Bombyx mori: one gene and its partner. The protein of the gene in region 1 purifies or fractionates together with the protein of each later gene. This does not show direct contact. Links are inferred from orthologs where the notes say so. Each region holds a gene or a part of one and is shown on either strand. Other genes may lie near its edges. The genes, in order: RpL7Ae and nucleolar protein 56.

The links.
Region 2: the proteins of RpL7Ae (region 1) and nucleolar protein 56 fractionate together in Homo sapiens (co-fractionation; 3 studies listed by BioGRID, with this or other methods). This does not show direct contact. The link is inferred for Bombyx mori from reciprocal best matches to the Homo sapiens genes SNU13 and NOP56.

Annotation. Positions count from the first base shown.
Region 1 is NC_085117.1:6,325,230-6,328,230, reverse strand, and holds RpL7Ae (ribosomal protein L7Ae), read right to left. Parts: upstream 1,488-3,001; 5' UTR 1,283-1,487; coding exon 1,280-1,282; intron 1,060-1,279; coding exon 670-1,059; 3' UTR 614-669; downstream 1-613.
Region 2 is NC_085132.1:2,385,109-2,389,575, forward strand, and holds the start of nucleolar protein 56, read right to left. Parts: upstream 2,840-4,467; 5' UTR 2,473-2,839; coding exon 2,470-2,472; intron 2,399-2,469; coding exon 2,194-2,398; intron 1,867-2,193; exon of another isoform or gene 511-1,866; intron 422-510; exon of another isoform or gene 80-421; intron 1-79. Other genes in the region: uncharacterized LOC101737518, read left to right, coding at 4,054-4,467. UniProt on the Homo sapiens protein: Involved in the early to middle stages of 60S ribosomal subunit biogenesis. Required for the biogenesis of box C/D snoRNAs such U3, U8 and U14 snoRNAs. Part of the small subunit (SSU) processome, first precursor of the small eukaryotic ribosomal subunit.

The DNA of each region.
Region 1 (3,001 bases):
TTTGCGAAATATAAAAATACATAATATATTCAGTGTTTAGATCTCGTAGAGCAGTTGTAGACGGAGCTCGCGCCTAGCATCTGCGGGTTAAATAAATATCATGGATTCATTGTTGGTTTTATTTAAGGCTTTATGCGATTTGCGATTAAGAATTTAACTTCAATAGAAAGCGGAAAAATCTATATCTTTGCTTATTGACAAAGGCATGTGAACAAAAAAATTGCTACTGCTAAAGAATATTTGTACTTATATAGCGGAAACAAAGCAGACCTCCATTTTTTTATAAACAAATGTAGCTTCTTTTTAGACGACTTGTGCCTTATTTGTTCAGTTAACAGTGTATTTACACCACATAGTGATTGTCATCACCTATATCACGTGAAATTCTCAGTAGATAACATTGTAATTCAGCTGTCCTATACTTCAAATCGAACTGAAAAACCATTTCACTGTACTGTTTGAATAGACACAAGCACTTGTTGATGAAAAGATTATCAGGGAGGATGCCACAATTGTAAAAGTTCATAATTGTAAAGTTCTACTTTTTATGTTTAAATAGCAAAAGATCCTGGTCCTTTTTGTTCCTAAAAGCATCAATAAATAAAATACGTTATTTTATTAAAATATTGTATTCGACACAAAATAATTTCCTTACACGTCTATTTATACTTAAACTAATAGTCTTTCGATTTCTTGCTGAATAGTTTGGATCTGAGGCTTTAGTTGTGAGCCCTCATTGATGGTTATCGAGCAAGATATGATGGGTCTGGAAACACCGCAAGCACGACCGAGTGCTTGCTTAGACCTAACAAACACATATGGCACATTCTTATCTTCGCACAGAATTGGAATGTGAAGAACAATTTCGAGAGGTTCGGCATCTGCTGCCATTATGATGAGCTCAGATAGACCACGATTAAGGGTCTTTGTGGCCTCGTTCGCGCCTTTACGAAGTTGCTTGTAATTGGTAGCTTGTTGCACCAAGTTCAGGATTTTAGCGGTTAAGGCGGCATCCGCCAATGGGTATGCCTTGGGGTTCACTGCAGCTTCGGTTTCAGCCTGTGAAAGTAGATTATTAAAGTTATGAACAGTTTAGATGTTCTAGGTAGTTAGAATGTAATCAATCTCAAGATAACCTCAAATATTCACATGAGTTCAAATTGCAACCGTATTTTGGATATCACATGATTGAAAGTTTCAATTTGAAACTGATTAATGAAAAAACTGACTTATTATAGGTAAATTAATACCAAGAAGATCGCTAACACGTGCAACTTACCATGTTTACAATGCCGCGGTGTTGAATTAATAAAACTCAACCTCTCGGCGATCTCTCGCTTCACTGAGGAAATAATCTTCACGTAAGGGAGAGAAAATTTAGGTATTTGCCACAATTCTACACTTAAATCACAAATATTTTGTGTATAAATATTATTAACGATTCTGATACTGTTGTTTCAAAGACACGCGGGTTGTGGCTTCTTTGACATTTGTTTTTTTGGTTATATTTTTTTTCATTTTAATAATCAGAGGCAACATGAATTATACAGCTTTACATTTTAATAGTATAGGGTAGTCATTTTTTATGTAAAATTAAATGTATGGTGCAGAATAATTTACCCAACGTTTGAAAAAAAAAACAAAATATTTATAACGACTTACTAAATAGTTCAATTACGAGTTTTTTTTCAAATTTCAATTTTATGACTTTTCGTATAGGTACAGTAATGTAGTACTTAGTTCTGTTTCTCCCACTAAAAAGGCGAAGGTATCACATCCTACAGACTAATCTTTTGTAAATGCTGTATTTAAATGAAATTAGTTTAAAGAACAATAATATGGAGCGAAATAAAATGAAGTTGATTAATTTGACATTAATCAATTGGGAAGTAATTAAACGAAACGAGATTATATCGGATGAAATTTAGTCCTAGTAAAATAGTGGTTATTTACTGAGACTATTTCAGGGAACTTTCTGGAAGATCACGAGAAGCTACGTCCAACGGCTTTATTTAATTTTCTCACATGTTGTCTACTTTTACAGATATTAAACTGCTAATAAAGTACTGTTAATACACAATGAAACCTAAAGAAACACTAAATTAACAAAATAAAACAACTCACACAACTACACTCCTCGCGTTCCCGCCAAAGTTTGTTCGTATTTAACGAACTTTTTACTGCTAAGGGTTTGACTGGGTTTTTTTTTAAGGCTTATATAGGTGGACGAGCTCACAGCCCACCTGGTATTAAATGGTTACCGGAGCCCATAGACATCGACAACGTAAATGCGCCTCCCACCTTGAGATATAAGTTCTAAGGTCTCAGAATAGTTACAACGGCTGCCCCACCCTTCAAACCGAAACGCATTACTGCTTCACAGCAAAAATAGGCAGGGTGATTGTACCTACCCGTGCGGACTCACAAGAGGCTCTACTACCAGTAGTGTTGATAAGCTGATACTCTTTGGGTTCACAATACGCGTTATCACCAAAACTGAAGTGGACACTGAAGAGATGACTAAAATGACTCAGAACTCACCTGTCTTTAGGTGGGCACCGAAGCCATAGAAGCTACCAGCGAATAGATCAAATACAATAAATAGAAATCACAATTTTAATGCCAACTTTAAACACGAAATAAAAGTCTATCACCAGTAGAGAGTTGGTGTCTAATCATCCATTTTTTCCAGAAGATTTTGAACAAGTCATCCATCACAAGAGATTCACTAAAAACAGCACTTTAATGTATCTGATTTTTGAAATAACAAGAGTAATTGACCAAACTTGTTCGTGTTATAATTCTATAGCTATAATCTTAATAAAGTATTAAAAAGCCTTAATATTTTTTGCTGAGTAACTTATTATGACTTCTTTAAGGAAATGGCTAGAGAGTCCTAGTCGAGGTTAGTCAAAGTAACTATTATCCCTTTGAGTGCGAACCGTCGATAGATCGACTCTATTAATACGTTTAAACGCATAACGTCAGAATACCGACGTTA
Region 2 (4,467 bases), on another chromosome or scaffold:
GCTCATATTTCAAATAAAACATTTCAAGAATCTAAAATTAATATTTACTCCCGAGAAACCTTAATGAATCCGTATGATAATTCTAGGGTCGGCAGACTAAAGCACATAAGTCAAAATTTTCAATTTATTTTTTATTACATCATCGGTTTACATTTTGCTCAACACACAATCTGACTAAAGCACATAAATCAAACTCAAGTATTTCATGGCGTATTCAAGCGGCGTTCTGTATCAACCTTATCAAATCCTAATATAGTCAAACGAACTAAAAAACATAACTGGACTTATGTTCTAAGGAACACCATAAGTACAAAGTTATTAACGTAAGAAGTCTGACTTATGTTATAAAGAACATCAAAATGTAACATTTCTTTAGAGAAAGTGGTTACTTAAAAATATTTATAACGTAAACAATACTTCGGTAAGTGGTTTTAATTTACTAATGTTGTCGATTGTGCACAGTTTGTTGGTTAGTTTTGTGTGAGTGCTTAAGTATTTTAATTATTTAAGATGAATATTCAAAGAGGCAAGAAATTAGTTGAAATGGCATCATCCACTCATCTGGAAAGCAATGAAGGTATATTTTCACATATCTTCAAAATTATGATTTGCAAATTACGTAATTATATCAATATTATATCATTATAAATAGATAATTAATTGTCTTGTCCTTTTTTAGAAAATGTAAATCAACAGTCGATTTTGAACACAGAGTTCTAGTAGAACCTAGTAGTAGACGATCCTATACCGTCGACATCATCAGGTCAAGTCAGTAGCTTAACATACTATTCTGTACTTGACTTCTCTAGTGATGATTCTGTACGATATCCATGTTATGAATTACCGAGACTTCCAATCACATCAAGTTCAAGTACTTGTGATGAAATTTCAATGAATCCTAATGTGTCTCCAAAAAAGAGTATACGTACTATAAAAAAAGAAAAAAGAATAAAACGTAACTTAGGACAGGCATACAAAACTTTAAAAGGAAAATGTATATCAGATCGCACTATGAATTAAAAATTTATTTTTGAGAAAAAACAAAAAAAAAAGCCCGCTGAGTTTGTTTCGCCGGTTCTTCTCAGGACTGTGGCTTTTTTTGGAACCGGTGGTAGAGATAACATTGTTATTTATATTTTGACATTCAATAAGTGTGTTATACTGACATCTAAGTTGAAATAAATGATTTTGAATTTGAAAGAGTTACCTGTTTGCAGAATGAAATGTAAAGAACGTATACCATTAACTGATAGGCGTGCCATATTTACAGAATATTGGCAAATGGGGTCATATGCAAAAACATCTGCATACTTGGCGTCTTTAATGGAAATTCAAGATAAATCTAAACAAAGAATACGAGCTATTGAAACTGAAAAGCAAAAGCTTAGAATGAAGACATAAAAATACTTTTTTACTGTGCATGGTAAAGGTGAACCTGTCTGCCGAGGATGTTTAATGAAACCGTTAGATGAAAGTGACAATTTTATAAAGACATTTGCTATGAAAAGGAGATCATCCATTGGGGGATCTCAAACTGATGATATAATATCTATACAGCCATTACCCATATTCATCGAGAAAAAAAATGATTTAATTTCGCTGCTCCCTTTAATACTAGATATTTTCCATGAATTTTACATAAGTCTTCCCACGTTGGAAACTTTACGAAATACTGATCCAGATATTTAGAAGAAGAAGAATAATAGAATAAGAAGAAGAATTTTAATTAAACATTGAGTTGTTATTTATATTTATGACTTATATTATTATAATATATATCTTAATTGTTGATCTTTTTCACTTAACTCATACTATTATTGTGTTCCTTATAACTTAAGTCATCTAATTATTAAATAATCACATTTACTTTAAAATATTTAATTTTAATAATAAGTTAGTGTTATAAACTTATATAATTCAAATAAACATTATTAAGTTTGTTAATGTATAAGATTCTAAATAGTTTTTTTTAATTCCTGTAAAGTAGAGTTTTTTGACTTATGTGCTTTAGTCTGCTGACCCTAGAATTTTAACTTATAGTAGTGGAGGCTTTGTAAGCTTAAATCAAGGTCGATAGCTTGCAGACACATTAACGACTCTTCGGAGTTTAACAACACATTGACGAAACATCAAATATTTCGAAATTCCAAATTAGTACTAAAAGTACAAGACAAGGAGAAGTCGAAAACTAACCTTCAGATACCGCGTTGATATTTTCCAAAGCAACGATCGCCGACTTGTGTGGTTGGAAAGCTATTAAAGTCACAACAGCATTAAAACGTTGCAAATCTGTCACGGACTCTTCGACCTGAGGCAGGAAAGCCGCTAACTCTTCAAATTCAGCAACGCGGAACAACGCAAAGCCCGCGCTGTGTTCGAATAACACATAGAACTTACTCTGCAATGTAAATTGGTTTAAATAACTCACAATAGCGTAACAAAGTCATAACACATCGTTTTAATACGCACCATTTTAGTAGTTTTATATCATAATCATTATCATATTATTTAGGGGAAAAACAAACACGTGCGTTACGTTTGCTCCCCTATTATAATTATTTTGAGGTTAAGTTACAGCTTTGATGCTTGTGTGTGGCTGGAATGTTTTTTTTATTGTTTGGGTTGCATAGACCAAGGGAACATAGATTTAAAATACTTACACTAAAATCTTTTCCAATTTAGCAAATACTATGGCCGACAAGCTATTATTTAAATGGAAGCCGAGGTATTTCACATTTGTATTTAAAAAGCTAAGCGTTTTTATTTCTGACTATAGTATTAAGTAGAATATAATAAATAAGTAGGGCTAATTTTGAGCTACACAGTTTGTTTTAGCCTCGCTTGCTTTGGAAAAGAGAGTTAAAAAAATGTTATACGTTAAAATTTTCAAGTCGTACTATATATAATATAATACTCGTTATGAAAACATTATAACATTTTTCACCATGGTCTCAAAAGTATATTCTTAATTGTTAACTATGTTTATTTATTAATAGTATGGCACATTGTAATCCCTTAGCTACAATCCAACAATTACAGTAACAATCTCTAGTTATTATCATTCTGCCCATTTCGGCTACGAAGCAGCCGTGGGTTTCAGTTTCAAAAAATACTTCAACTTCAACTTCATGACCCAAATGGATGTCGGCATTCATTTTGTTATATTTATAGATTAAGGACAATTTATTCACTTTATCACTTATTATACCAAGAAAGCCTTGAGTAGATTTATCCATCAAACAACCACAACAAAAAAAGCGTTTTTGTTCGTTTTAAAACTGATAGTGGATGAAATTATGACAGCTATTTTTTTCGAATCGTATTTGCATACATAAACTCGGGCAATGCAAGTCTTTTATTGTATTTTATTACTAATTATCCTACAATTACATCATCTACAATTATGATTTAATATTTGTAAATTCAAAATACCTAGTCGTAGGAATGTCTATGATTTTATCATTGACTTTACCCGAAAGCATAAAATTAATTAAATCTTTTAAGCCTTTTAAAAGCGACTGGCCGACGGCGCCACAGCTGCCACTAGTTAGATCTTTAAGGTGCTGTGGAGTTAGGCTATCAAGCCCGCCAGCAGAACCACTCTGAAAAGATGCAAGAGCATTAGCAACATCCTCTATGGTCGCCTCTATGTTCAGAGCTGGGAGGTTCAGAAAAAAATATGTTGTAGGATAAAACAATTAAGAAAACATGTACTCCAGTTCATCATTTGCTTTAATCGCCGTGTTTTGTACAACTCAGTATATTGTTAAAAAAAAATTTTTTTCACAACTTATGGAAGGATACTCGGTTGTCATTTATCCCAGTCATTAAAAAAATTGAGGCAACAACATTCAACGGAAATTTTTGACATTTCAATTTGAAATTTGTGTACAAACTAAGGTTAATCGTATTTAATTTCTAAAAATAAATGTAAAACAGTCTTAACTTATAACAATGTTAAGGAATAAAAAACCCGTTCAATAATCAAGAGTAAAAATTCAAATTATGTAATTGGTGTTATAACAAAATTTTGTAATTATGACAACGATTGCAATGCAAAGAGATCTAGTGTTCGCACTGAAAAAAGAAACCAGTCTCAATATTGGTTTATTAAGCAAGTTACATCCGATGTCTGGAGAGTTACTGAAGCAGATTTTTCGCGATAACGCTTTGGAAAAGCCGACACAGAACGTCTTCAATCATGTTTCTCACTATTTGGTGTCGATTATTGACGTTCAAGCTTCCGCGGCGCTACCCTGGCCTTTGTATGATACAAAAACGGAGAGATTGTACAGGAACGAGCTGGCGAACTTCATCTCCGACTACAGCACCAAGGGTCTTCTTACTCCTGTAATGTCCTCATACTTGGTGAACCCTGGATGTTACAAAGTCACAATGCTGATCTTCCAACTGTCCCAACTCGCCGTACAAAAGGTCTTATCGACCAGAATGAAAGATCGACAAAAG